Linked DNA regions of Sus scrofa. The protein of the gene in region 2 interacts with the protein of the main gene of each other region in a pairwise test. Links are inferred from orthologs where the notes say so. Each region holds a gene or a part of one and is shown on either strand. Other genes may lie near its edges.

Region 1 (5,929 bases), on a different chromosome or scaffold from region 2:
TATTTATTGAGTGGGTCACGCATACAAGACACTATATTCCTACTATGGTGGGAGATAGATGTTAATTAATCCTACAATAACAATAAAATAACAACTGTGATAACTACTACAAATGAAAATATAGTATGAGAGCATATAAATGGAGAACCTAACCTATACTGAGTGTTCTCTGAAGAAGCTACTTATTAAAAATTGAGAATTAAAAGGATAAATATTTTCCTTAGTCTAGTGAACAGGGTGAGGGGAATATGAAGGTTTTGGCCAGAAAGTTCTATGAAGAGGAAAGAGCATATGGAAAAGTCCTGAGACAGGAAGTTAGCTGCTATGTTAAACAGAGAGAAGGCCAAGTAAGCTGGGTCATGGTAAGCAAGATGAGACTGAAGATCAGGCAGATATGGGACTAATCATGTAGATAATATATCATGTGTAGATCATGTTAGGAATTTTGAACTTCATCTTGAGAATAATTAGAAGCCATTAAAGGGTTTAAACAGGACATGGTTCCACTCCATTTTGAAAGCATGTCTGGTGGCCGTGTGGAATATGCGCTAGAGAAAGCCAATAACAAAGATAATGGTTAGAAGAGTGCTACTGCAGAGAACAATGATGGCTTGGACTAGAAAAACAAGAGATATAGCAAGAAATAAATAGCTTCAGTGTATGCTTCCAAGATAAAAATTACCCGCACGTGGTGATTAATTAGATATAAGAGGTAAGTGGTGATATCAAACAGTCAGTTGGATATAGGAATCTGGGGGTCAGAAGCTGGTCTAGACTGAAAATAAGAAGTCCATGTATAGATTGTATTTAAAGTTGTGAGAGGAGAGGCTATTACATAGAGAATGTAGAATGAGAAGGGGAAACAGCCCAGGACAGAATATCAAGTAATCTAATATTTAGGGCTTGGTTAGAGACAGAACCAACAAAACTGAAAAACAGTAGTTAAATAGGTAAAAAGAAAACTGGAAAAGTCTGACCTAGAGGACAGTGAGAGTTTAAGAGTGCAATTAGGAGTTCCCATTGTGGTGTAGCAGAAACAAATCTGACTAGGAACCATGAGGTTGCAGGTTTGATCCCTGGCCTCACTCATGTCTTAAGGATCTGGTGTTGCCATGAGCTGTGGTGTAGGCTGGCAGCTACATCTCTGATTTGGCCCCTAGCCTGGGAACCTCCATACACCGCGGGTGCATCTCTAAAAAGCAAAAAAACAAAACAAAACAAAACAGAGTGCAATTATAATGACTGACCATAGAATAAGCTGGGGAAGAGGGTCACTGGATGGAAGTATTCATTGACACCCAATAATTGTTGCAGTAGGAGTTCCTGAGTAAATAAGCATAAAAAATAAATTTTGGAGGTTTATAATTGCTGGGGATGATAAAATCCTCAGTGTGATTAAGAGAATGAGTAGACGAAGGTAAAAATCACTAGAAATAGGGATGAGGAACTGAGAAGCCAGGATGTCAGATGGCTTGCCCATGAGGATATTGAGGTCACCTAAGAAAAGAGCTTCCTATGTAGCAGTTACCAATTTCAGTGCTTCAGACATTGCCCACCTCTTGCTTCTATACTGTCCTCACAGCAGGAATGGCATCTCTCCCAGTTCTGATTTCTAGAAAAGGACAGTTCTTCCAGCCTCCTTATGGGCCCGTCTAACAGCATCACTTGGTAGATATTGGTTTGTACTTCTGTATAGGAGGGCATTATCATTCTAAAATGCTCGATTAACCCCACAGTCTTATTTAACACAGCATTGGTTACCACCTCTGTACTGCAATAGGAACCTAGAGATGACTTTTTACTATTTTGTGCTGAACTATTAAACTTGCTGGGAAAGACAGAGTAAGTCTCCCAAAGGGCTCCTTTTAGTATAGTGGAATGTTGACAGCCATTTGTATGCTATTTCCTGTTACGGTATTTCCCAAGTTGTGTGAGTATTGGGGGTGTGGGCCCCCATCCCTAAGTGCTAGTATCAGTAATTACCATGGTGATGATCATGGAGGTTTCCAGGAAAACAAGCTACATCTGCAGCAACACATCTCCCTGGAGTTTCTAAAGCTGCATCAGTTCCTGCACAGCAAAGAAAAGGACATTTTAAATGAGCTCCGAGAAGAGGGGAAAGCCTTGAATGAGGAGATGGAACTGAATCTAAGCCACATTCAGGAACAGTGTCTCCTAGCCAAGGAGATGTTGGTGAGCATCCAGGCACGCATGGAACAGCAGAACTCCTTCGACTTTCTCAAAGTGAGATTCCATACCAACATGACTATGGGTACAGTGTTGGGGGGAGGGTTAAAAAGGAAGTAGAAGTGATTTTCCCCTCCAGGCGGGTTTAAAAAAATGATGTGCTTTTAAGATTCCCTGGGAGAAAAGCAAGGAGGCTATTTTTGTCTCATTCTCAGTTGAAAGCTTACTTTCACACTTCTACAAAAGATAATGAAATGCTACTAAAACCAATATGTTTTAATATTTCTCTATAAAGAATGTGAAGCTTTATTTCTCAAAAGTAAGAATGTTGCCACTTAAGCTGTACCTTTTATTGGCTGTCAGCAATCATAAATTGACTTGTCTGAAAAGTTGTTTGCCAGCCTTTGCTCCCTGACGCTTCACCTCTAAAGTGGCATTGGTTACCACCTCAAGCACTCAGAGGCTTAATTAGTCAGAGTAAAGAAATGTGGCCTTCGGGCTAGAATACCTGTTGCATTTTTCTCCTGAGACTATGTGACAGTATAGGTAAAAAATAGTTTAATATTAATTTCTCTTAGAAATTTAGAAAATTTCTAAATTTTATTAATTTTCCTGTGAAATTAGAGCAAAATAAACCAGTTTATCAGGGAATAAGTGAAAGGCATGGACCAGAAAAGGCATACAGAGGGGAGTTCCCTTTGTGGCTCAGCAGTTAACAAACCTGACTAGGATCTACAAGAGGATGTGGGTTCGATCCCTGGCCTCACTCAGTGGGTTAAGGATCCAGCATTTCCGTGAGCTGTGGTGTAGGTTGCAGACACAGCTCGGATCCCGAGTTGCTGTGGCTGTGTCGTAGGCCGGCAGCTGTGGCTCTGATTTGACCCCTAGCCTGGAAACTTGCATATGCTGTGGGTGCTGCCCTAAAAAGCAAAAAAAAAAAAAAAAAAAGAAAGAAAGAAAGAAAGAAAAAGAAAAGGCATACAGAGGAAGAATGGAGTTGGTGGCAATGGGATGGGGACCATCTGCCCAGTATTGCACCATTAAATTCTAGTGGTAGCCAATATCACTAAAGAAATGTGTGGAGTTGATGAATAGGCATCTGATCTTTCTATTTCTCCTTTCCTTTTCTAGGACATCACGCCTCTCTTGGATAGGTAAGTGTTTTCTTGTGCTATTAATACTCTTCCTTCAGTCCCTGGAAGATGTCTAAGAATAAATAATTTATGTCCCCTGCAGCTTGGACCAAGGAATGAGGGTGCTGACACCCAGAGAACTTATCTCCAGAAAGCTGAACCTAGGCCTATTCAAAGGTCCCATCCAATACATGATGTGGAGGGAAATGCAGTCCACTCTTTCTCCAGGTATCAGCGGGTAGTAGCTGTTAGTTCCTGGAGCTCCCAGTTTATGTAATTTATGACTTTGTAAACAGAGTCTGATGTCAGAATTACTTCTCAGCCTATGATTTTGTTTCACTATTCTATCAAATGTGAAAAATCAATATTTTAACCTGCTTTTCAAAAACAGTTATCTAAGTTCCTGGATAAGAGGTTACTATATATATTTGTTGCATGTAATAGGGTCTTTTCAGTTCCTCTTGTGCTTGATGTCCACAACATAGAGTATATCATCTTAGGAGATTATTTAGAATTTTTTTTTTTTAATTTTTAGGGCCACACCTATGGTACATGGAGGGTCCCATGCTAGGGGTCGAATCAGAGCTGTAGCTGCTGGCCTACACCACAGCCACAGCAATGCAGGATCCGAGTCACGTCTGCAACCTATACCACAGCTCACGGCAATGCTGGATCCTTAACCCACTAAGCAAGGCCAGGGATTGAACCTGCATCCTCATGGATGCAAGTCAGATTCGTTTCTGCTGAGCCATGATAGGAACTCCTGTTTAGAAATCTTAAGTGCTTCAAAAGATAGCCAATTATTTCAACAGCTGTGCCTAATAAGAATACTAAGTTTTTGTCATTTTGTAGATACCAAAAGACAGCAGGACAAAAGAACACAAATTACATTTCAAGAACATAAAGTTTTAAATAAATATAATTACAGAAGTAAAGCTCTAAATGAAGTTTTTATGGAAGTCATATAGACTCATTATTGTAATTGTTTGTAGTTACTAATTTAATGAAAATCACAAATCTCTCCCTGCTAATTTTTCCAGGTAACTGACATTGAAACAAATCAGTTTCACTAAGGTATAATTAACACAGAATAAAATGTACAACTTGATGAGTGTGACAAATGTATATACTTAGCTAAACACCTCCAAAATCAAGATATAGAAAATTTCTGTCATCCCCCAAAGTTCCTGCATACTTCTTTGCAGTCAATCCTTTCCTTCTAACCTCAGGCCCTGACACTCATTGATCTACTTTATTTCACTTTAGCTGTCTTTTCTAACATCTCATAAGGTAATGGTAATGGTACCATACCTTATGTAGTCCTTTGTGTCTGGCTTTTTTCACTTGGCAAAATGCGTTTGAGATTCACCTGTGTTGCTGTATGTATCAATAACTGTATTTTATGGATATATACAATTTGCTTATTCATTCAACTGATGGACATTTGAGTAGTTTCTAGCTATTATGAATAAACTTCCCTGAACATTTGTTTACAGATCTTTTTTTTTTTTTCTTTTTTGGCTGCCAATCAGATCTGAGCCACAGTTGCAACCCAGGCAACGCTGGATACTTTAACCAACCCACTGTGCTGGGCTGGGATCAAACCTGCATTCTGGTGCTGCAGCAATACTGTCAATCTTGTTGCACTACAGCGGGAACTCCTGTTTACAAATTTGTGTGTGTGTGTGTCTTTTTAGGGCCACATCCATGGTATATGGAGGTTCCCAGGCTACACCACAGCTCCCGGCAATGCCAGATCCTTAACCCACTGAGCTAGGCCAGGGATCGAATCCACATCCTTACGGATGCTAGTCAGATTCGTTTCCACCGAGCCATGATGGGAACTCCATCCTGTTTACAAATCTTTGTGTTTCAATTTCTTTAGAGTAAATATCTGGTAAGGAGACTGCTAGGTTGTGTGTAGTACCATTTTAATTCTAACCTCCATGAGAGTCCCAGTTTTTTCAAATCCTTGCCAAAACTTGATATTGTTGATCTTTTTGATCTTTTTGATATTTTTTCATCAAAGAAAGTATTTTATTCAAGTTCCCAAAACAAATTTGAGGAGTTATGATGGGTTTAAATTAAAAAAGGCTAAATTAAAAAAGGCTAATTAAAGTTTGGAAATAAAGTTTTCACTTGGTAGACACTGAAATCAATGTATACATTCTAGTCAAAGATCTACCCCATGTGGGAGTTCCCACTGTGGCTCAGAGAAAACAAATCTGACTAGTATCCATGAGGATGCATATTCAATCCCTGGCCTTACTCAGTGCATTAAGGATTTGGTGTTGCCGTGAGCTGTGGTGTAGGTCACTGATGTGGCTCAGATCCTGCATTGTGTGGCTGTGGCATAAGCCAGCAACTACAGCTTCAGTTTGACCCCTAGCCTGGGAACCTCCATATGCTGTGGGTGTGGCCCTAAAAGGACAAAAAACAAAAACAAAAACAAAAACCCAAAAAACTATCCCATGTGGCATTTTCAAGTCTAGCAGACCAAACCCGTTACTGCCTTTGCTGCTCTTGCTTTGCTTTTCCCCTTCCCTTTCTCTCATTTTGCCTTCAGCCTTTATCTTTGCCTCTGGTTTACCCATATGAAGTAATTTCCC
Region 2 (5,293 bases):
TGGGGGGAGGGTGTGAAATATTCTAGAAGAAACAGCAGGCATGGATGTAAAATCTTATGAAAGGAAATAATGAGAAATTTGGTGTGTATGAGGTATACCATACATCCTGTGTATGTCTACCATACACTAAGGAACCATGTGAGGGAGGGAGTGGTCAGAGAAAAATTTGGAAAGTTATGTTGGAAATTTAGACCCCTGCAGCACATGGAAGTTCCCAGGCTAGGGGTAGAATCGGAGCTGCAGCTACCCGCCTACGCCATAGCCACAGCAACACGAGATCCAAGCCACGTCTGTAACCTACTACCACAGCTCATGGCAATGCTGGATCCCTAACCCACTGAGCAAGGCCAAGGAGTGAACCCGTCAATCATGGATTCTAGTCAGGTTCTTAACCCACTGAGCCACAATGGGAACTCCTAGACCCTTTCCTTCAAGCAAAGCAAAAAACTAAATGAAAGTTCTTTAAGCAAAGTGTACCATTAGATTTTTTTTTTTTTTTTTTAAGTAGATGAATATGGGAACAAATGGAAGCTGGACAGGAATGAGGAGAGATTCGGGCAAGTTAGAAGTTATCTTGGTGACAGTGATAGCAGTGAGAAGGAGAAGGAAGAACAGATTCAGGAAATACTTTAGAGATAGAAAAGACTATGTTCTCTATTGTTCTGTGATTGTCTGTAGCCTCAAATAAGTAACTTAGGCAAATGCCATAAAACCTTTGACTTTTTCCTTTATGGTCAGGGAATGAGTTCTGACATGAAGGCAAGAAGTTCCCTTTGTTCTGCAAAAAAGAAAACCTGATCTGATCCTTGGAAGTGAGAGATCAACAAGAGTTGCAGGAAAATAAATTTCCTCCCTCTTTTTCCTTTTGGCTGCACCTGTGGCATGCGAACGCTCCCAGGCCTGGGATCGAACCCACACCATAGCAGTGACAACGCCAAATCCCCAACCCTTAGGCCACTAGGGAACTTGTAAATTTTCCTTCTTGTTCTGCACTATTCTCTGACTTCCCTTTTCATTTATGGATCTGACTTAGGAACAGCGACATCTCACTCATGAAAATGTACAGCGCAAGCAGGCAAGAACCGGAGAAGAACGAGAAGAGGAGGAGGAGGAGCAGATCAGCGAGAGTGAAAGTGAAGATGAAGAGAATGAGATTATTTACAACCCCAAGAACCTGCCCCTTGGCTGGGATGGCAAAGTCAGTCCAGACACTCCCGTATTCCTTGTTTCCTGTTTTGAAAGCAGATGCAGACACCAGCCTAACACTCCTTCTTCTCTGATTTCTCTTAGCCCATTCCTTACTGGTTGTATAAGCTTCATGGCCTGAATATCAACTATAACTGTGAGATTTGTGGAAACTACACCTACCGGGGTCCCAAAGCCTTCCAGCGGCACTTTGCTGTAAGGAATTCAGAGCCTTTTCTCCTGGATGTTAAAGTATGAAACATACTTTAGAGAAGTCTTTTAGAGAAGAGGGTAGGAGCAGCCTGAGAGGATCACTGGTGTCCAGAGTGCAAGAGAATCAGCGAAGGAGTGGCTCTAATGTCCAGCATGTGGCATTTGGCCTCGGGACCAGGGCTAGCCTTGGGTTGTACCTGAGATGGTTCTGGAGGTGTTCTACCACTTGGCTATCTGAACCTCATTTCCTTTTGCACTTGCTCGCTCTTCAGTTCTCTCTTTTTGTGTCTCTGAATCCTTGGTCATTTCTCTGTCCCGCTGTTAGTATTCAGGACCAAAGAAGGGACTGACCATCTCCTTTGGGTCCTGAAAGGGCCTTTGCCTCTTTAAAAAAAGAAACGAAGAGATTGACATTTATCAAGCTCTTCTTGAGACAAGGCATTATCTAGGTGGTACCCCAGTAAGTGGATTCACCCTTGTTTAGTTTCCGCCTTCAATTCTTATACTTGGAAGGAAGTTTTACAGAATGAAAGGCTTGCTTAATGTAGCCTAGGATAGCGAATTTCTATGACCTCTCTCTCCCTCAGACGTACATATTACTAATTTGTCCTGGGTCTTTCCTGCCAAGCTCCTGAATAATCTCTGAATCTTTCTGAACACTACCTCCATTGAATTGGAATTGGTCTCCTGGGCCCATGCCATTTGTAGTCCCTGAGCCAAAACTGTCCCTGTATCAGTGTCTCCCTGGTCTCTTTCATATACTTGGTTATACCTGATAAACAATCTTCTCCTTAATTTCCAGAGATAACACTGACCTGCCATCAGTGTTGGCTACTCAGGCATGTTGGTAGCTGGGGTTGCATGGGATGTTATTGATAAGTTAAAGTCTCCAAGAGAGGTTTTGTCTGGATCTAGGGCCTAGGTTTTATAAACCAGCTCAGTGAAGCAAACTATGCAACGCTTTGACGTAACTGCCTCTGATCAGTCATAGCAGCAGTCTAGAGTCAGGAACCACAAAGGAACGTTGCCTTTAGGTGGAGCCTTTTAGAAAGGGTCAAGGTGGCGTTTATGAGCACAATGGAATTAGTACTCTGTGTTCAGTCAGTCCCGTTTTACATTGTTCTCTTCTTTTCACGCAGGAGTGGCGTCATGCTCATGGCATGAGGTGTTTGGGCATCCCAAACACTGCCCACTTTGCTAACGTGACACAGATTGAAGATGCTGTCTCCTGTAAGTAAGCTTTATTGTTCCCTGAGCCAGCCCTCTAGTTTACTGTCCCAATACCCTGGCCTAAGGGCAGCAGGGTGTGAATGTGTACAAACTACTCCAATTGTACAAGCTGCATTTTGAGGGGATGAATTAGCCAGCAGTACTGATTGTTTCCCCCTTGGGAAGTGTTCTGTGCTGAGGATAAAATGGTTTTTAAGTGGGTTCTGTGAACTCCCCTGTATGCAAGATTTTGAGTAAATGAGTATGTATATTTTTCTGAATTGACTTTACTGTGTTAAGAACTACAGACATGGAGTTCCCACTGTGGCACAGCTGTTGCAGCTGTGGTGTAGGTCACAGATGCAGCTGGGATTCAATCCCTGGCTCATGTTATACCATAGGTATGGCTGAAAAGCCAGCAGAAACAAAAAACTACAGATATGAAGGAAAAAATTAAAATGGTCTCAGCAAGCTTATTTCTTTTTTCTTTTTTTCTTTTTTTTTTTTTTTTGTCTTTTTTGTTGTTGTTGCTATTTCTTGGGCCGCTCCCGCGGCATATGGAGGTTCCCAGGCTAGGGGTTGAATCAGAGCTGTAGCCACCGGCCTACGCCAGAGCCACAGCAACGCGGGATCCGAGCCGCGTCTGCAACCTACACCACAGCTCACGGCAACGCCGGATCGTTAACCCACTGAGCAAGGGCAGGGACCGAACCTGCAACCTCATGGTTCCTAGTCGGATTCGTTAACCACTGCGCCATGGACGGGAACTCCAGCAAGCTTATTTCTGAGCTGACAGGACAGGTACACAGCAACATGGCAGCAAAATACCTCTTAGAGAAAAAGCCAAGTGCCGCACGTGTCCGGGAATTTTCAAGTGCGAGTCAGGCTTCCTGTTTACCTGGCCATGGTAGCTTTTTCTGCCATTAGCCTCTTCTTCTCAGGCTTCTTGTTTCCTTTCTGGTTCTTCTCTTCTCTGTCATATTTTCACTTTCAATGAGTTAGACTGTGAAGAAAAGGATTTTACCACTCCACTTTATTAAATTTCAGGCTCTCCCTCCCAGATGTATTTATCACACTACTTGGCTACTTGGTCAACTAACTTCTTTGGCTCCCAACTCTAAGGTTGTTGAAATCATCCAGGGCAGAGCTAAATAGAAATGACCTTCTAAAGAGCTCCCTGATCCCTGACTTAATCTTTGGATCCTGGGGACTTTTTCATTGCTTTTGTGTGTGGGTGCAGTCAGCTTTAGGAACTCCTTGCTGTTTTGTCTTTTCTTATTCATTTGCAAGTCAGGATCCTACAGTTCTGCCAGTCAGGATTATAATGCATCTTGTCATCAGATTATCCAATTAGCTTCTTCAGTTTTTGCCCTTCATTTTGTTGGGATAAAATTTAAATATTAGGAGTTTCCTTCGTGGCTCAGCAGCAATGAACCCAGCTATCATCCATGAGGATGTGGTTGCAATCCCTGGCCTCGCTCAGTGGGTTAAGGATCTGGTGTTGGCTGTGAGCTGCGGTGTAGGTTGCAGATGCGGCTCGGATCTGGCGTAGCTGTGGCTGTGTTGTAGTTGGCAGCTGCAGCTCTGATTCGACCTCTAGCCTGGGAACTCTCACAGTATGTGCAGGTATGGCCCTAAAAATACAAAAAAAAAAAAAAAAAAATTTAAGATGGTAATGAGAGTTCTCTGGTTGTTCAACACCCCCTGCCCAACAATAGTAATGAAATTTCATAGAATGACAATGCTGCATTTTGAATGTAATCTCATTTTTAAATATATTTTCTAGCTGCATATTACTAATTAGTTCATTTTTGTGTGTATTTTCTTATGTCCTGCAAATTGTCTGTTACTTTTACTTCTTTTTTATTTTGGTCTTTTTAGGGCTGAACCCATGGCATGTGATGGTGCCCAGGCTAGGAGTCAAATCACAGCTGTAGCCACTGGCCTATGCCACAGCAACACAGATCCCAGCCATGTCTGCGACCCACACCAGAGCTCACAGCAATGCTGGATCGTTAACCCACTGAGTGAGGCCAGGGATAGAACTTGCATCCTCATGGATGCTAGTTAGACTTGTTTCCTCTGAGCCACAATGGGAACTCCACTTTATTACTTCTGATACCTTGAAATTGATATAGTTACACTATTTTAGGCTTACGATTATGCCAACTACCAAGATAATGTTTCAGTTTATTTTGTTCCATGGACTTATTTTTCTTCAGGGATAGTTCGCCCAAGCATTATCCCCAAGTCTTATGTTAAATAGAAGCAGGTAATAATCCTGGACTCAGGTCCAGGGAGTTCCCGTCGTGGCGAAGTGGTTAACGAATCTGACTAGGAACCATAAGGTTGTGGATTTGATCCCTGGCCTTGCTCAGTGGGTTAACGATCCAGCATTGCCATGAGCTGTGGTGTAGGTTGCAGACGCAGCTTGGATCTAGCATTGCTGTGGCATAGGGAGGTTCCCAGGCTAGGGGTTGAATCTAGAGCTATAGCTGCCGGCCTACACCAGAGCCACAGCAGCTCAGGATCCGAGCCTCGTCTGCAAGCTACATCACAGATCACAGCAACAGCGGATCCTTAACCCACTGAGCAGGGTCAGGGATTGAACGCGCAACCTCGTGTTTCCTAGTCGGACTCGTTAACCACTGAGCCACGATGGGAACTTATATTTAAATAGAGATTA
Region 3 (5,873 bases), on a different chromosome or scaffold from region 2:
GGGACGGATGGGTAGGCCGAGAATCAGGTGAATAACTTCCACGGGTGGTCTGGACATTGGCGTTGCCATGATCTGTAGGTTGTCTCCCAGTAGCTACACAGGAACCTGCGTCCTCAGAAGGCAGCCTGGTGAACACAGAGACAGAACAGAGAGCATGAATTCTACTCCCGGGCGAGGAGTGGAGCTGGAGCTGCAGCTGAGGCCTGTGCCACAGCCGCAGCAAGACCAGGTTGGAGCCTCAGCTGAGAAACCTACGCCGCAGCTTGCGGCAAGGCCGGATCCTTAACCCGCTTAATTGAGGCCAGGGATCGAACCTGCATCCTCACAGACACTATGTCGCGTTCTTAACCCACTGAGCCACAGTTGGACTCCTGTCCTTACTTCCTGATTCACCATTCAATCGTCCAAACACATTTATGAGCATTTCTGTGTGCAAGGAATGGAGGATACTTCAGTGAAAGAAAAGCTTACAAAATTTACTATGTAGACTAATAAAAAGAAGAGGTTATTTCAGACAGTGATAAATGCTACGAAAAACTTTGAGCAAGGTGAGCAGACTGACTGTTGGGATGGAGGGGGGTTGGGCTATATGCAGACAGGGTGGACGGGGATGACTCTGGGAGCAGGAGGTAAATCTGAACTGAGCCCTCCTGCTAAGAAGGAGCCAGTCATTTGATCATCATTTTTCTGTTGTTCTTAAGAGTTTTATTCATACCTATCATTCAGAGTGGATGATACTGAGACGGTGTGGCACGAATTCGGTAATTATGGTTGCATTAGTGTTGGATACGCCAATGGTAAAGCAACCAGGCTTTTTTTTTTTTTTTTTTTTTGTCTTTTAGGGCTGCACCTGGGGCAGGCATATGGAAGTGCCCAGACTGGGGGTGAAGTTGGAGCTGCAGCCACCAGCCTGCAACGCAGCCACAGCAACACAGGACCTTAGCAGTGTCTGCAGCCAACACCACAGCTCATGACAACGCTGGAGCCTTAACCCACCAAGCAAGGCCAGGGATCTAACCTGCGCCCTCATGGTTATTAGTCAGGTTCCTTACTGCTGAGCCATGATGGGAACTCTGCAACCATGGGTTTTTTTGTTTGTTTGCTATTTTATTTTTGTAATGATTTTTATTTTTTCCATTATAGCTGGTTTACCGTGTTCTGTCAATTTTCTACTGTACAGCAAGGTGACCCAGTTACACATACATGTATACATTCTTTTTTCTCACATTATCAAACACACGAACCATGCTTTTTCAATCCAAAACTCTGAATGCATGGTTTAACATGCAGCGTGCGGGCTGGATATGAAATCAGGACTTAGACTTTATCTAAAATTGCATTTTCCAAGGCATGTGATTATTATAACTGATAGGCTTCAGTGGATTGGCCTGGGCACCTAACCCACGTTGATGTGAGAAGCGTATTTCTAATTTCTTTCTTTCTTTTTGTCTTTTTGCCGTTTCTGGGGCTGCCCCCGAGGCATATGGAGGTTCCCAGGCTAGGGGTCGAATCAGAGCTGTAGCCACCGGCCTACGCCAGAGCCACAGCAAAGCGGGATCCGAGCCGCGTCTGCAACCTACACCACAGCTCACGGCAACGCCAGATCCTTAACCCACTGAGCAAGGCCAGGGATCGAACCCGCAACCTCATGGCTCCTAGTCGGATTCATTAACCCCTGAGCCACCACGGGAACTCCCTATTTCTAATTTCCAAAAAGCGAAGTAACATGTGTACTTTCGGGGAGTTACCGTCGTGGCGCAGGGGTTAACAAATCCGACTAGGAACCATGAGGTTGCAGGTTCGATCCCTGGCCTTGTTCAGTGGGTTAAGGATCCGGTGTTGTCGTGAGCTGGGGTGTAGGCCGCAGACGCGGCTCGGATCCCGCTTTGCTGTGGCTCTGGCGTAGGCTGGCGGCTACAGCTCCGATTAGACCCCTCGTCTGGGAACCTCCCTATGCCGAGGGAGCGGCCCAAGAACTAGCAAAAAGACAAAAAGAAAAAAGTGTACTTTCGGAATAACACCGCTTGCCGTCTGGGACTGTATCTCTTTTCCCCAACTAGAGTACACGTTCTTCCCTCTGGGCACAGTCTGAGTTTATACAGTTTTGAATCCCTCAAAGCCCTACCAGAGTGCTGGGCACGCAGAAGCGCTGGGCACGCGGTAAATTCCGAGCCTGCCCTCGGCTTGGAAGGACCAAGTCCCGTCCCGCTCCGGCCGAGCTCCCAGCGGCTGTTCACCCTCCTGCCGCACGGGGGCGCAAGGGGACTCCCGCACGGTGAGGATCCGCGGCCGGCGCCCGTCTTGGCCCCGGAGGGCCGCATTCCCACAATGCACCTTGTATCAACACAGCGCTGGGGGCGGCTTCGAGGAGGGGCCAGGGGCGCCCAGCGGACCCTCGCGCAGCCCGGGGCGTATCAGGCGGGGCGGGTGTGGAAGGGCGACTGGCAGCCATGGCGGAGTCGGCGCCCGCTCGGGTAAGCGTCCTCCCGGCGCCCGCCCGGGGGCGCGTTCGGGATGGTGGCGCCCCGACCGGGGCGGGGCTTCGAGGTGCGGACCGGGGAGGGGCTGGGCGTCCACGGGCTGCTGCCGGCGAGGCCAACGCCGACCTGCCCCCCACCCCCCGCGGCCCCAGCGCTGGGCTCTACCCCCGTCGGCTCCTTCCACGTCGGGCTAGAGCCTCCGCGCCACGCGCCTTCGCCGAGAAACTTCTCGGAGGCTTGTTTCATGTTCTTGCATTTGCGACCGTCCCGACACGTTTTCGTCGCGCCCTGGCGAGGTGGCGCGGGTTGGAAACCCTGGGTCCCCAGCAGCGCTGGCGAGCTGGCCCGTGCCCGGGCACCCCAGGGCTCAGGCTCTCAGACCAGCTTGTTCTCTGCCTGATGGGTTTCCTCATGCCTTCTGCCGTGCCTCCGGCTACAGATTTCTGTCCTGGGTTGAAGTCAGGCTGGCCTGCCTCTCCTTGGGGACAGGGTTACCTCACGGTGTAGTTGCTGGGTTTTGTTTTGAAGCTGTCGATCTTTCCCCCTCTTCCCCTCCCCCAGACATCACCCTTCCGGGAATGGCAAGACTGCGGGGCGGGCTTGGGCCTGGAGTCGGGAAACTGGATTTCAGCGTCAGTCAGTTCTCCGCTATCTAGTTGAGTAACTTTAGGCAACAGTGTTGGCGCCGGACCTCCACGTTGGGCTAGTTACTAGATGATCTCTAAGGTTCCAACTGCCTCCGACTCTCATTACTCCCGAGTGTTGGTTTCTTTGATGATACTAGAGGATTTGCTATGGAAAGGGCAGATGGAGTTTAATTGTTTTTTGGTTTTTTTGGCTTTTTTTTGGGGGGGGGGGCTTTTTTAGGGCCGCACCCACAGCACATGGAAGTTCCCAAGCGAGCTAGGGGTGTAGGGGTGTGGCCTACACCACAGCTCATGGCAATGCTGGATCCCCAACCCACTGAGGGAGGCCAGGGATGGAACCCGCGTTGTCACAGATGCTAGTCTGGTTTGTTTTTGCTGAGCCACCGGCGGGAACTCCGGCATTTCTTCATCCAGAAATACCTTCGGAATCCTGTGAGATCTTTGTGAGCATTGAGGGCTAAGCGATGCTGGAGTGCCTGCACTTGATTTCTTATAGGAAGTGGGTAAGACCTAAGAGTGGAAGGATTGTAAGACTTAAAGAACAGGTGTTTGCTTTTAAAGAAGTTACAGTTGAATTTTGAAGACAAGACAGATGTCAACAATACCACAGTATTTACCTCATCTGACTCCCTTAACCTAAGGTGATCCAGTCAGGGACTTGCCTTTTCCTCAAGACCAAATGAGTCGTCCTAAAGTTGGGCAGGAGGACACGTTACTAACTTCCAGAGGACTTCTTCCTGACCGGTCAGTGCAGTTACCTACGTGTCTTCAACAGACCTTGTTAAAAGGACATCTTAAAGAGCCTCCAAATCCCCAACTCCACTTTAAGTAATTTATTGATCTGTCATTGCGGAACGTATTTAAATTGCCTGTGAACATATTTCCATCCTTATCTTCAGATGAGGATGCTGTACCTCTTATTTGAAGTATGGCCAAGTAGGTGCCTGGATGAAAACACCTAAAAATACTGAGGTGAAAAAACACCAATGTATTTGAAATGCATCTGGTAAAGAATACTTGGAGCCCAAAGACTAAGTGAAAGAGGGAACTCCTGAGAGGTAAACAGAGTTCTGAAGCCAACTTTGAGGGGATTTGCTGAACATTCATCTGTAGTGTTTATGAACTCAAGAGGTCTGGAAAATAGAAGACAAAACTCGGAGCCTAAGGTGGGAGTCTAAAATGCCTCCTACACCAATCCTATAAAGCCGAGACTCCAAAGGGCAACATTCAGGGTGAACTGGAAGTAAGCTCCTACCCCGGCAATTGCAGAGAAAATCCCCTCAAACCTTGGTGTTGAGAGCTGGGTGCACGGTAGCCCTTGAGAATTCATGATGACTCTCAAGTGGGTTTAGTGCCTGAAGTCATACAACCTGGGTGTCTGGGAAAAAACCTTAAGCCAAGAGTTTAGTTTGTCTCCAGCTATCTTTCAGATATAAATACACATCTTCTCTGCAGGAATCTACAGTTAACTCAGACTTCAAATAACTCCATAGATAAAATTCCAAGACAAACAAGTTCACAATAAAAAATTACCAAGCAATGAGAAACTACAAGAGAAAGCTGGTAAAATTAATGGGAAATAAAAGTAGACCTCCAGAGATTTCAGATACTACTATTCTAGAAGAAAAACATGTTGGAATTCAAGTAGGAACACACACACACACACAGTCTGCACTGGAGACCGTATTTGATGAATACCTAATGTTTGAAGATACTGTAGGACTGATGCAGATGCTAATTCTTAGAAGCCCAGAAGATCCTAATCAGGCTAAACATTAAGAAATCTCTACCTAGAAACATGGTGAAAGTACAGAATACAAGACAACTCTTAAAAACAGCCAAAGGAAAAAGATGACCTTCAGACGAACCTTGTAAGACTAATGGGGTGCAGCTTCCCAACAACAATGGAAACCAGACAGCGGTAGAATGGTATCTTCAAAGGGCTAAAAGAAAATAACCATGTAATCCCAGATTTGTATACTCAGCAAAAGCATCTTTCAGAAACCAACAGTAAAATAAAGATTTTTCAGACAAAACTGACAATTTGTTACCAATGTACTCTCATAAAAGGAAATTCAAGTGGAAAATGCAAATACAAGAAAGTATGATGATTCATTATTAAAATGGGTAAATCTAAACAAATGTTAATTGAACAAAATAATCTCTTACATGGTTAAAGACAAGGGCAGAATTAAAATACATGGCAGCATTGATGTAAAAGTTAGGAAGAGATGGTCAGAATTCAGATAAAGATCTTTGTAAGTATGTCTAGGTAATTACATACTTATGTCTATAATTACATACATATGTCTAGGATGGTTGCTAAAAGACTAGAAACTGACTGTATAACTTACAATTTAAAAAGGGGGAATAATAAAAAATCTAAAAAGGTAAGAAATATGGGATAAGCAGCACAAAGGTAAAAATAAGTAAAAATGATGACAATAAGTGTAAATGGACTAAATGTTCTAGCTAAAAGGCAAAGATGGATAGGATGAGTTAAAGCTCAACAAATGGTTTATAAAAGATACAGCTAAAAGAGGTGGAGTTCCTTCGTGGCTCAGTGGTTAACGAACCCAGCTAGTGACCATGAGGTTGCATGTTTGATCCCTGGCCTGGCTCAGTGGATCCGGAGTTGCTGTGGACTGTGGTGTGGGTCGCAGACACAGCTCAGATCCCATGTGGCTGTGGAGTAGGCCCACAGCTGCAGTTCTGACTCAGTCCCTAGCCTGGGAACCTCATATGC
Region 4 (5,818 bases), on a different chromosome or scaffold from region 2:
AACCCACCGAGCGAGGCCTGGGATCGAACCAGCATCCTCATGGATGCTAGTCAGGTTTGTTAACCGCTGAGCCATGGTGGGAACTCCTGAACAATTTATATGTTAAAGAGCAATTTTAATGTTTCCACCATCTAGTCTGCACACAACTGCCAGAGTTGATCCTTTTAAAACAAGTCTGATTATTCCTTTGTCATCAACCTTTCCATGGTACACTATCACATTCTAATAACATCCCAAGTCCAGCACAGCTTACCAGGTACATGATCTGGCTTCTGCCTATGTTTCCCAACTTGTTTCTCTAATTTGCTCCAGCCACACTGGTCTCCTTGATCCTTCTCCAACATGCCCAGCAAGACCCATCTCAGGGCTATTTTAATTGCCTTTCTCTTCTCCTGGAACAATTTCCCCCTCTAGAAATTCACACAGCTGCCTCCCCCATTTAATGATTAGATTTCTGCTTATGATTAAGAGGACTTCCTTGTCTACTGCATCCAACAGAGTGTCCCCACATCACTCTTATCCCTTTATCCTGATTTTTTTTCCATAAAAATTGCCACATTACTGGGCATTATCTATTATATACTATGTGTATTGCTTATTGTCTAAATATTGCTTATTGTCTACCTCCTCCACGATGAGGCAGAAACTTTGTTTTGTTCACCGAATTCCCAGCACCTAGAACTGGTATCTACTCATTAAAAATTTGATAAATGAAAATAGATTTCCAGGGTATATCAAATGTAAAACTACTTTATATTTTTTGAATGAAGTATAGAAAAATATCTAGAAGAATGTAAGGCAAAATGGTAACCATTTAACATGGTAGGAGCTGGTTTTCATTTTTTGTTCATGCAAATATTCTTTTTTTTTTAGAACGAACTTGTATGACTAAGAAATGAATAAAAAGGCCACACAGGCAGGTGTAAATGATTTCTCTAAGAGGTTGGGCAAATTGATGGAAGAAAGACTTCTAAATAGATGCATGAGCATAATGGCTAAGACAAACCACTGTTTGAATGCCCTTCCCCAACACCATCTAGCTGTGTGAACCCAAGTTATTTACAAGGTAGAGTCTAAAGGTCTTCACCTGGAAAATGGGGATGATAATATTACAAGTGTCTTTTCCATAAGGTTATTTTTGAAGATTAAATGAGACCATGTATGTAAACTCCTTTGTACAATGCCTGGCATGCAATAAATACTCGACAAATGGCAGCTATCATAATAATAATAATTAGCAGTAGTAACAAGAGATGTTGGGACATACCTAGCCCTCAAGACTGACATCAGAGTGGACCACCACATCCTCTCATCATCGCGCCTCAATTTGGGCACCTAAAGCCCAAAGAGAGGATGGTTTTTCCAAAGAAGATAATTTCGACGTTCCAGAAGCATCTGAATCAAACGTACCCCATGTACCCTTGAACCATTCAGGCAGTCTGGTTAATCCATGAGTAGCACTGCAAGACCCGGCCTCGAGGGGGGACCACCACTCGCCGTCCTTGGGCCCAGTCCCTCAGCCTCCATTTCCTTTGAGGCTGCAACAGGGGTGGCAGGAATGTTACAAAACGCAAAAGCGGGGCTGTACCGGCCCGCTCCAGCTCACCGCACTCTGGAGGGGTCAAACGGCAGCACGCATCCGCAAGTCTGCGGCGACGAGCAACGCGCCCCGAGGGAAAAGTGATTACTGGTCCGACTCAAAAGTCTGGCAAACTGCTCAGAGCCCCATCCTCCCAGGCCTCTGCTGGAGGCGGGCGGCGAGCTCTCGGCGAGGTCAGGGGCTGGAGCTGAGAGAGGGGAGGCGGCGAGCGCGCGCCACGCGGCGGGGCCGCGACGGCTGGGGCGGCGCCTGGGCGGAGGCGGCGAGCGCGCGGCCCGCTCGCGCCTGCGCCGCTCGGGAGCGAGCACGCAAAAGCCCGGGCGCGCGCACGGCTGGCGTTTCCTCGGCGCGGAAGAGGGGGACGCGGCGAGGTGAGGCACGAGGCGCTGCGGCACGGGTGGTGGCGTGGTGCGGCGCGAACCCCTCTCGCGGGACGAGGGGGAGAAGGCGTCCTCGAGGTTCCCCGAGGGTGGGGGAGGGCTGCGGACCCCAGCGGCGTCGGGGGCGAGAGGGTGAGTCGGCCCGACTGGCGCGAGGCGGGGGCCACGCCGTGCGGTGGGGGAGGGCGGCGCGTGCCCGGCCCGAGCCCTGGTGCCCCGCCCCGCCGCGAGCCTGGCGACTCCCGCCCCCTGGGCGGTCCTGCTGGGTTCCGGCCTCCGCTTTCCTGACTTTGCGTTGGAGGGCGTAATGCGGCTCACGACAGCGTATGGTTGATGTTACCTGTTGTTCTCAAGTAGGCCTTCCAAATAGATATTTCAGGTTCATTTTAGAGCTGTGCTTGTCTGAGCCTCCAGTAAAATGACTTGCCCAAGATCACAGTTAATAAGGAACAAAATGAGGCTTCGAATCTTGTTTGCAAAACTCCAAGCCTGCCCCTGTCCTCTGAACTGCAGTGAGTGAGTAATCTTCACGTCCCTTCCCTCCTCCCAGTAATTTCTTTGAACAAAGCAGATGTTAATTTGGAGCTAGCACCCAGCCTTTCGTGGGTATTAGCGTCAGAAATGTCTCCTGTGTGAAAAAAAGACGGGGAAAAAAAAGATTCTGCTTATTGCAGTATTGCACTTACAACGTGGAGTGTTCACGAGACTTTATATAAAGTTCCTTACTTGACTATCTCTAGTTGACCTCTGAAGTGACATTGCTATTCACTACGTCTAGGACATTGTGCCAGTAACACAATCTTTTAGCATTTCCTTTCCCTCCTTGAAAAAGCAACATGTCTCTGAAGGTTGTAAGGATTCAGAGATGATCCACATACAGTGGTACCACAGTACCTGGTATATGAGAAAAGTTCAATAAGTTTTGGCCATTATTTTATTATTAAGTGCATGATACCACTTACTAAACTCACTTTTCTTCAGACTCATTTTCCTGGGGCTAGACCAGAGGGAGAACCACCCCAACCTACCCTAAAAAAGACAAGTTCATTGACAGTGTTGTATATTCTTAATGATAAATTATTCTCCAAGCCAAAACTATCCAGTGAAAGAAGTCACTGCAGGAAAACTAAGGATGAATTAACTTTTTTGTAGAATTAGCATTTATTTGTCCATTACATTTTTGTTTATTGAGTTCTTTCTGTGTGGCATTGTGTATGGTACTTTAAGACATACAAATTTGTATTTGATGTAGTTCCTGTTTTCATTTAGGCTAGAAATGGGAAAAATATGCATCCATAAGTAATCTTCACAGAGCAGTGTGAAAAATGCCGGAGAAGGGATAGATAAAAAGCTATGGGGAGGAGTTCCCATCGGGGCTAAGTGGTAAAGAACCCGACTAGTATCTATGAGGTTGTGGGTTCAATCCCTGGTCTCATTCAGTGGGTTTAGGCATTGCCCTTGAGTAATGGTGTAGGTCACAGACATGGCTGGAATCCCACGTTGCTGTGGCATAGGCTGGCAGCTGCAGCTCTGATTCTGTCCTTCGCCTGGGACCCTCCATGTGCTTCAGGTGCAGCCCTAAATTAAAAAAAAAAAAAAAAAAAAAAAGCTATGGGAGGAGTTCCCACAGTGGTGCAATGGGTTAAGGATCTGACATTCCGAAGCTGAGTCGTAGGTCTCAGATGCAGCTTGGGTTTGATTCCTAGCCCTGGGAACTTGCATATCCTGAGAGTGTGGCTGCAAAAGGAAAAAAAAGCTATGGGAGTATAGAAGGTGATATTGGCTTAGTGTGAAATATGAGTTCATTTATGTCTTAATAAAGATACTTTGTACATGGTACTTAACTGTTAAATATTTGTTCAAAGAATAAATTAGTGAACAAAATTTGTCATAATAGATAGGGTTTTTTTAGTTTGTTGTTGTTGTTGCTATTTCTTGGGCCGCTCCCGAAGCATATGGAGGTTCCCAGGCTAGGGGTTGAATCGGAGCTGTAGCCACCGGCCTACACCAGAGCCACAGCAACTCAGGATCCGAGCCGCATCTGCAACCTACACCACAACTCACTGGGCAAGGGCAGGGACCGAACCCGCAGCCTCATGGTTCCTAGTCGGATTCGTTAACCACTGCGCCACGACGGGAACTCCATGGTTTTTTAGTTTTCTAGTGATAAAAGTTCATTCGTATTAAAGTATTTTTGAAAAGATAGAGAAATGGAAAAAAAAAAAAATTTGTGCCATTTTTGGGAATGAGTATCTCAACAACCAGAGCTCATGAACCAGATTCTTTGGCTAGTGAATGACTGAGCTCTAACTGCCCTCTGTCCTTGTATATCTTACAAGATTCAGGTTCTGTAAGAAGAGTTTTAGTTGCTTTAGCTGCTATGGGGGTGGGGGACGGAGTGTTATGATTTGCAACAACCTACTCCCCCAAAGCCGTGTGAAATGTGGGAGAGTCACTTTCCTTCCCTAAGGAAGGAGGGCTGAGGAGAGAAGTGATGCTGCACAGAGAGAACCAGTTGTTGCCTATTAGAAATATATAGCCTTTGTAGAGGGCTTATCATGGGCCAGGTGCCATGGTATATTATTTATGTGGATATTGATTATTTTAATCCTCACAACTCTAGGAAGTAGATATGATTGTATCATATTCATTTCCAGAGGAGGAAACAAGCTTATAGAGATAAAATAATTTGCTTAGCATACAAAGCTAGGATGTGGTAGAGTTGAGTAAGTTATATTGTCTTCTCTTGTCCTTTTAAGTGATTTCCTCTTCCATGTGCTGCTTTTGTTTGTTCGTAGGAGGGTCGTCAAGCTTTGGTGGATGTGTTGGCCATTTCTAAAATCTCCTTGAGGGAGCCCTACATTGAGGAAGATCAAAGCAGCCAGCTTGCCAACTGCGGGATGGACCGTTTGGGTTCCTTTAGCAGTAAGTACTGTGGGAACAAGTCCCAGGTGAATATTAATAGCAAACTGAAGTGGAAGTTGATCAGAGAAGAAAAATAAGTACTTTGCAGTTAAACAAAGCCACTTGAATCTAATCCTAAAGGCCCAAGAGTATCAACTCAAGATAAAATAACCAGTACTACACATGACACAGCATATCACCCTAGGTCTTATATGAAAACTAAGTTCAGGTGTTCCAGGCATAGTATGATTAACTTGTAATTAGAATTCTACCAAAGTAGTTTGATTTCTTTTTAGAACTAATAACACACTTCAGGTGCTTTGGTAGGAAATACTATCAGTGATAAAGGAAATGCTCCCAGCCCTGCTTTTTTGGTACTTGTATTCTAAGAGTAAACCGTATAGTATAGTAGTGATGCAGAAATGTGTGACATACATGTAAAATAAATCCAGGCACCCACAACTATGGAGGAAAAAAATAAGCTTTTTCTTTTACTCTGAAGATAAGGGATTTGGCAGAAGTAGAAATCCATTATTAGATGTTAATAGTGTCCTAATGAGAAGACTCAGAAAAACGCGTTTGGGGGCGTATCCTCTTCAACATAATTTGCTTAGCAAAAATTTTTTTTTTCTTCTTTTTTTTTGTCTTTTTGCTATTTCTTGGGCCACTCCCGCGGCATGTGGAGGTTCCCAGGCTAGGGGTCGAATCGGAGCCGTAGTCACTGGCCTACGCCAGAGCCACAGCAACTCGGGATCCGAGCCGCGTCTGCAACCTACACCACAGCTCACGGCAACGCCGGATCGTTAACCCACTGAGCAAGGGCAGGGACCGAACCCGCAACCTCATGGTTCCTAGTCGGATTCGTTAACCACTGCACCACTACGGGAACTCCCCATCAACAGTTTCTTAAATGAGCTCTAACTTATCTCACCAC

The links.
Region 1: the proteins of SF3A3 (region 2) and TRIM69 interact in binary tests that used the Homo sapiens proteins (3 or more experiments, as listed by UniProt). The two-hybrid records come from large-scale screens. The link is inferred for Sus scrofa from reciprocal best matches to the Homo sapiens genes SF3A3 and TRIM69.
Region 3: the proteins of SF3A3 (region 2) and ZNF212 interact in binary tests that used the Homo sapiens proteins (3 or more experiments, as listed by UniProt). The two-hybrid records come from large-scale screens. The link is inferred for Sus scrofa from reciprocal best matches to the Homo sapiens genes SF3A3 and ZNF212.
Region 4: the proteins of SF3A3 (region 2) and TADA2A interact in binary tests that used the Homo sapiens proteins (3 or more experiments, as listed by UniProt). The two-hybrid records come from large-scale screens. The link is inferred for Sus scrofa from reciprocal best matches to the Homo sapiens genes SF3A3 and TADA2A.

What each region holds. Positions count from the first base shown.
Region 1 is NC_010443.5:126,784,576-126,790,504, reverse strand, and holds the start of TRIM69 (E3 ubiquitin-protein ligase TRIM69), read left to right. Parts: upstream 1-1,876; 5' UTR 1,877-1,878; coding exon 1,879-2,244; intron 2,245-3,318; coding exon 3,319-3,341; intron 3,342-3,423; coding exon 3,424-3,548; intron 3,549-5,765; exon of another isoform or gene 5,766-5,929.
Region 2 is NC_010448.4:93,954,886-93,960,178, reverse strand, and holds part of SF3A3 (splicing factor 3A subunit 3), read left to right. Parts: intron 1-1,033; coding exon 1,034-1,198; intron 1,199-1,290; coding exon 1,291-1,401; intron 1,402-2,537; coding exon 2,538-2,628; intron 2,629-5,293. UniProt on the Homo sapiens protein: Component of the 17S U2 SnRNP complex of the spliceosome, a large ribonucleoprotein complex that removes introns from transcribed pre-mRNAs.
Region 3 is NC_010460.4:55,525,829-55,531,701, forward strand, and holds the start of ZNF212 (zinc finger protein 212), read left to right. Parts: upstream 1-2,333; 5' UTR 2,334-2,450; coding exon 2,451-2,474; intron 2,475-5,873.
Region 4 is NC_010454.4:38,873,285-38,879,102, forward strand, and holds the start of TADA2A (transcriptional adapter 2-alpha), read left to right. Parts: upstream 1-1,871; 5' UTR 1,872-1,971; intron 1,972-1,972; exon of another isoform or gene 1,973-2,112; intron 2,113-2,296; exon of another isoform or gene 2,297-2,496; intron 2,497-4,778; 5' UTR 4,779-4,880; coding exon 4,881-4,905; intron 4,906-5,818. Other genes in the region: ACACA (acetyl-CoA carboxylase 1), read right to left, coding at 1,268-1,287. UniProt on the Homo sapiens protein: Component of the ATAC complex, a complex with histone acetyltransferase activity on histones H3 and H4. Required for the function of some acidic activation domains, which activate transcription from a distant site. Binds double-stranded DNA.